Canis lupus familiaris: one gene and its partner. The protein of the gene in region 2 interacts with the protein of the main gene of each other region in a pairwise test. Links are inferred from orthologs where the notes say so. Each region holds a gene or a part of one and is shown on either strand. Other genes may lie near its edges.

Region 1 (2,711 bases), on a different chromosome or scaffold from region 2:
GCACTCTGTAGGTAAGCACCAAACTCAACATAATTAGTTATTTCTAATACATACATTTAAAAATGGTATCAAGCCATTGTTTCAAAAACACAGAAGCACAAATTGCCCATATCTAACAAAATCCGCCATGTCAGATAGATTCAAATAAACAAACATGGAGCAAAAACCACAGTACTCTTCGGTAAGTTATCACATCAACAGAAAAGAAAAGAAAAGAAAAGAAGAAAAAGGGAAACACCACACTTTGGATTAGAGCAAAATTAAATGTTGTGGACTTCACTCTCTAGAAGAGCAAAATCATTTGTCCAGCCTTCTTATCAAAAGATATTCAAAAGTTAATGGTTAGTGAGATTATTTAAACTGGAAAAATGTATCTAGCCAAACTGTACTTTGACCCCACGTATGCACAGACTGCAAACTCACATTAGTTTCTGAACAGTCTCCTCCATATTAGCGTGCCAAGCACAGCTTTTTAAAAGCAAAAAGCACGAAGTCCTACTTGTAGGATTTCAGATATTTTCCCTACAGGCAGACGGACTTTTGTGCTCATAGCCTAGTACCTTCCTTTTGTCAAAATAGCTAGTTTTTCCAGTTTAAAAACAAAACAAAACGAAACCCCCACAAAAACCTCCCAACTTAAAATTTATAAATGCATAGTGAAAACCAAAAAGGATGATACAGCAGTGATGAAGATTTCATGCTGACATGCATTAGACACCTGTCATAATGGAAAATAAAAAAATTACATGACACTTCCCTGGGTTATTATTGGTGCTATTTCAAAACTACCAGCTTTGATAACAGAAAGAAAACAGTTGAGTTCTGCCAGGCTTTCTATAAGTCACTTTCACAGAATAGAAACATGACCATGATCCAAAAGGTCCTAGAGTTTCTAATCATAATTAAATATCAAGGGCCTTAAAGTCCTCAGCATTTAAATCAAAGGGGGAACTATACTTACTAATGACCTGAGAAACTAGGGGTGAGGACAGAGGGACAGATCAAAAAAATAAGACCAAAAAAAAAAAATAATAATAATAATAATAAAATTTTTTAAAAAATTAAAAAAAATCATCCATTACTGTTCTGCAGCAAAAACCCTTGTTAAGAACCAGAAATCGATTTAACCTTTAGCTTTGAAAAAAATTGTGAGGGTGGGTTAAATTATTTTGTATTAATTTCAGTTGTCTGGGAAATAAAACAATAAAAGGGGGTTTTCCTATACTGACATTTCAGTTTGGACATCAGTGAAAATATTAAACACAGAACTTGAGAGATACTCAACATTTTCAATAATGTAATGTCACCGCTGTTTAAAAATGAAAATAAAAATACAGGCAAAATTTAAGAAGCATGTCAAAGGCATTTCACGATGACTTTAAAAATTTCTGCAATCCAGATATGGCTGATTAATGCCCACTAAAACAAAAAGCTGACTTATGAGCCTGCAGACAACTCTTCTTTCTATTATTGAAATCAGAAATTTGCATGGATACAAAAAAAATTCATCTTTGATGAAAAACACTAAAGTTTTGAAATATGCACAAATTAGAACTGTACCTGCTATACCTCTCTGAAAGTCAGTAAAAACACCACCACACACCAATAACCAAAGAATTCTGATTTTAAAAACACCTACTCACTTCTTGCATACTAGCATAAGACATATATGGTTTGTAACCTACTCCTCGATTTTTACTGAACAGTTACAGCTACAAACCAAAAGTGCATATACGGGATACAGAACTTAAGAACTAATGATAAAAAGGTTTATGTTAAAGCAAACTCTCCGGGAATAAACCATGTATATCAAGAGAAATACTCAAATACCTGATTAAAATAATTAATATTGCTATACAATTTACCAGCTTGTACTTTTAAGATTCCTGATCAAATTTCAGCCACACAAATGATATTTCTGGTACAAGAATTATTTACCTACATACCAATCAAGCCCTTTTTAGATGTATATTATCTTCTTTATATAGTCAGTGGGCTTTTCTCCGAATCCTGACTTTTCAAAATTTTGGGTTTGTAACTCTGAGGATTTTTTTTAAGCTCAAGGTTAAGGGGGGGGAAAAAAAACACAACAAGAAAAAGAAGGGGAAAAGAAGTTACTAAGAGTAGGAACTCCTAATTAAAATAAATCCATCTGCCTGCTACCTTCAGGGCATCCCTTTCACTTAATAGCTAAACTGTCCTGTCTTCTATTTCAAAGGTTTATAAAAATATAAAAAAAAGAAAAAAAGCTTCAACTAAACAAACTAACTCAAAAGAAAATTTCATCTGATGCTGTATCCCATTACACATCACAAAACAGGAACCATGTCAAAGTAGTAAATACAAGTTATACATGGACTTTAGGACGCACCACGGACAATGATCATGACCAGGTAATCTTCTTCAGATTTGGCCAGTGCCTTGGCAGGGGAATCCAGGAACTGCTGGGAGAACTCACAGGGTGGGAAAGCATGTAGGACCCCGGTGTTTTCCTTGTCTTTGTTGCCCCCCACGGGAAGGCTTATCACCCCAGCGGCCTGCTTTTGCTTTAAATAGGACACAAGGTTCCTAAGTGGCCTCTGAGTAGAGGTGGCAGTGTCTGATGTGGCTGAGGAAGAGGAGGACCTGCTGTCAGAACTTCCAGGCACAGCCAGGAGAATGGCATAACCATTGGGACCTGCCACTTTGATGCGTCGAGTTACTTCATCCAA
Region 2 (4,297 bases):
CAAGGCACATCACTTTTGGATTTTACATGTACACATATACACTAACCTCACTTTTATTCTCTTCAAAATAATCTATTTCGGCTCTGTAATTGTTAAGAATATAGTAACTCAAAATCATAAATGCAATTTCATGGTAAATGTAGAATTAGGACACAAACATCATGAAAAAGTGCCATTTTGTGTGAAAAGTTTAAAGCTTTAAAAAAAATGTCATCTGATAGTCAATATGGGGTAGAAATATGGATCAGTAATTTACTTTTTCTTCTTTTCAAATAATTTGTTAAAACATGTATATGGTGAAATTAAGTATTAAACCAAACACCTATGGTATGGTAAAGAAACAGAACATGATCAGTACCTTGGTAGCCCTCTGTGCCTATTTCAAGTTTACAAACCCACTACAACTACCATCTTGATTTTTGCTTTTTGGAGTCCGGTCATATACGTATCCTTTTACCACAACTTGCTTTTTCAATGTTTGCTGGTCATCCATTTTGATGCAAGTTTTTTTTTTTTTTCTTCCACGGTTGTGTTACATTCTACTGTAATGAATACCCACCCTTTATCTAGACAGAAGAGTGGTTCCCAATATTTTCATGAACAGTGCTGGTATGAACATTTTTTGTACATGAATGCTGGGGAACACGTACAATGATTTCTCTAGGCTTGTGTCTAGGGTACAAAGCTTAAGAAAGGAATTATTGGGTCATTTTCTACTAGGTAATGTCAAAAATTCTTTGTCTCAAGTGGTTGCACTGAAATTCACTTCTAAATTGAGCTATACTGTGAAACTCTAAGCAAACATTCCACTTCTAGCCCTCCAAATTTAACACTAAGATCAAATATTTTCTTTTCTAACAAGGTATAAACAAAATAATCCTTTTTATTCGGCAATTCAAGTGAATTGAGGTGCTTATGACTAGAGGTCTGGGACTTCTGTATTTGAACCGCAAAAGACAAAAATGTTTGGAGAAAATATCAACAGAACACCTATCACAAAGACACAATTTTACATAGATCTCAATTCCCGAAAACAATGCAAAGTAAAGGCAATTATTATGCCCATCTTCAGTTGAGAAAATAGGCTCACAAAAAGGTCCAGGATCTTGCCCAAGGTCACATATGTATATATATTAATAACTGGCGTTCCATTATTATTTATCCAGAGATAAGACCTTTATTACAAAAAGTTAACAGCACGAACATTCGCATCTCTTAGGCAACTTTTCCCTTTAACTTATGTTAAGATCTGAATCTCAGTATCTGGGAAGAACTTTAATCTTGTTAACTTTCAGCCGTGGCATTATCGCATCGAAACTTTCTAACCAGGCCGAGCAACTAATACTCCAGTCCAACTGGAGAAGAACAGAACACAGGGTGGGAGGGAACCCTACAGTAACCAAAAAAAAAACAAACAAAAAAACCCACAAAAAACCCTCCCTCCCCTCCTCAAATAAGATCATTTAGATGGCAAACAATTCCACTGCTTTACTGTCCAAAGTGCTTCCTTCGAATTATCTGAAATACCACTAAAGGGGATTTTAAGATACATTTAAAACTAGAAATCAGCCATTTGGCGTCTAGTTTCCAACTCGATTTCCAGTTCCTTTAGCAGTTATCTCTGGCGACAGATAAGATAAGGGAAGCCATTTGGCGTCAAGATTTTCCCAGGCCGAACTCGGAGACCTCCTCCTCTTCTCAGCAAGAACATCCGTGTTTTACAGATGAGCGCTGAGGCCTGGAGAGATCAAATGACTTGCCCAAATCGGCCGGGCCCGGCAGCCGGGCGGCGAGGCGAGGCCAGGCTGGGTCTGCGGCGCTCGGGCCGCCGCTCCGGCTCCCCGCCACGACTGCGGTCCGAAAGGAGGGGCTGGGGCGTCGCCAGGCCGCCCCCCCACGCCGGGTCTCCCGTGATCCCGGGGCGCAGGCCCACCCGCAGGCCCGCACACCAAACCGCTATTATGTCCCAGGTCGCCTCGCCTCCCGGAGTCGGGGGCGTCGCTCCCAGGCCTGCAGTCCGCTCCAGGTCTCCCGCTCGGCGGCAGGCTGCGGTCTCCTCAGGAAACAACCTTCCCCCTCCCCCCGGCCCACGCACACGCGAGGCCTTCCCTCTCCCCCTCCCCCCTTACCCTCCACGGTCACGATCCCGGTCCCGGTCCCCAAAGCCGCCTCCGCGCATGGTCCCAAACGGATAGAGATCTGGGAGCGGGGCACGGATGGCCGGGCTCGGGAGGGCCTGCGGCTCCGGTCTGGTGACGACCGATGGCGGCGGCGCCTCCGCTGTTGGGGCGGCGGCAGGCGCGGCGCTCTCTCGCTCCGACGCGCTGTCTCCCGTCGCAGACGCCACCGTCGCCGCCTCTCTCGTCGGAGACGGGAGCAAAACACAGAGAATCGGGGTTATAAAAACTGTGGGTAGGTTTGGCTACGCTCAAACCCGGCAGTGCCGCGGTTTAGGCGTCTCCTTCCTTCCCAGCGACTGCACAAAATGGCGGCCGGCGCTGAGACTGCTCCAGCTTAACGCTACGTACGTCGGAGACGATACGTAAACAGCGTCTTGGAATAGCCCGAGGGCTTGGCGGAGTACTAAGGGCATTCTTGGAAGCCATTTACGTCAGTTGCGCAGACCGGCACATGTTGCAGTCCGTAGAAGAAAAATAAAGTACGAAGCGGGCGTAGAGTGCTCGCGCCACCTGAACTAGAACGTGGGGTGGGGTGAGGGGAAGAGCCTCCGGTGCGACGTAACATTCTTTGCGTCGTTACCCGGCCCACTATTGCGAAGATGCGCAGTGTGCGTAACGCATTCTGTTTGGAGAATAGAAGATTTTGCCGGGTTCCGAACGCGGGACGGAACACGGGCCTCCTTGTGCAAGTTGGTTTGCAGACACAATAACCGTCCTCCATATTGCAGTCGTGAAGTGTCAGGGTTTCCCGGCGCCTTGGGTCCAGGCGGGTCTTCAGGGTTCCTGGATGGCGTCCCTGGGTCGCTCCGCCGGCCTGGGCCTGCCGTCACCGGCCGCGCGCCCCGGCGCCATTTTCTTTCGGTTGCCTCTCGCTGCGCTGTTGCCGGCAGCCATGATGGATGCTCCTTGTCGGTTCTCTCGGGAGGTGGTCGGCGGACGAGGTCCCAGTCAGGTTAAAGCACTCCCTGCTACGCTTGGTTCACACCGAAGTGCGTTTTCTGAGCAGAATATTCACGGTCGGGGGCTGAGCGCAGTTGGCTAACAAAGAACCAACACGCAGGTGGAGCCCCTGTTGAGGAAGACTCCCGGGTCCCATGGTCTCCGTTCGTCGGCGCTGCCTCGGGAGGTCCTGGCAGGCCCTCAGCGCCCTCCCCGGGCGAGGACGGTTAAAAGCCGTGGCCTTTCGACACAGAGAAGGTGAAGGCCTGAGCACGTGTTTTTAACCAGGCCGGAGCATGTTCCTCTCAGTTCCTTCCACGCTGGTTTCCAACTTCCTGCCTCCTCACTCAGACTGAGCTTGACGGTCTCACAAACCTGGCCAGACAGCGTCACAGAATTGTTGAGCTGCTAAGGCCCTCGCGAGCTGCTCATCTGATGTCTCTTTTGTTTATTTCTACAGATGGGGGAGGGGGGCGGGGGCGCGGGATTCGAGGTCCTTCATTGTGGGGGCTGTTGTCTCTTGGTTGTAAATGTTTCCCAAATTATGACAAAAGGAGCTCAAGGAAAGGAGCTTGGTGACAAGCCGTTCAGAGGTCCTTGGGGCCGTAGCGCAGATGGACAATTGGAACCACTGGACCTGTGCTGAACACTGCATCAGCCCAGCACTGTGCTAGGCACTGGGGCAGAGGGCACTGGACACGTGAGTTCCTGCCCTCATGGGCTTTATACCACAATGGGGGGGAATAAAACAATGAATCTTTATGTTATTTAAAGATTGCTAACTAAAAAATAAAGATTGCTGATTAAAATAGAAAAAGCGAGGAAAGGGGATAGTGTTTCTGTGTCTGTGGGGGAGGGGAGTGTATGGATGTCACGGTGTTACATGGGGTGACCTGGGGGAAGGCCTCTCTAATTCAGTGACATCTGAGCAGCGACCTAAAGGGAGGGAGTTAGCTTTGCTGGCAGAGGAAGGAACACATGCAAAGGCCGTGGCGGGCTGTAATGAGGAAAGACGGGAGAGATTTGAAGGATTTGTAGGCTGCTGTAAGGACTTTGTTTTTTCCTTTCTGTAAAATGGAAATCTCTATAAAGTTTTTAGAGTGACATAATAAAAGGGCCCCTATGACTACAGAATAGAGAATAAATTGAGAGTGAGTTGGGGCAAAAGCAGGTAGACT

Evidence for each region.
Region 1: the proteins of DDX17 (region 2) and RBM15 interact in binary tests that used the Homo sapiens proteins (3 or more experiments, as listed by UniProt). The link is inferred for Canis lupus familiaris from reciprocal best matches to the Homo sapiens genes DDX17 and RBM15.

The regions. Positions count from the first base shown.
Region 1 is NC_049227.1:42,105,306-42,108,016, forward strand, and holds part of RBM15 (RNA-binding protein 15), read right to left. Parts: coding exon 2,372-2,711; intron 1-2,371. UniProt on the Homo sapiens protein: RNA-binding protein that acts as a key regulator of N6-methyladenosine (m6A) methylation of RNAs, thereby regulating different processes, such as hematopoietic cell homeostasis, alternative splicing of mRNAs and X chromosome inactivation mediated by Xist RNA.
Region 2 is NC_049231.1:27,281,319-27,285,615, reverse strand, and holds the start of DDX17 (probable ATP-dependent RNA helicase DDX17), read right to left. Parts: upstream 2,902-4,297; coding exon 2,761-2,901; intron 2,423-2,760; coding exon 2,130-2,422; intron 1-2,129. UniProt on the Homo sapiens protein: As an RNA helicase, unwinds RNA and alters RNA structures through ATP binding and hydrolysis.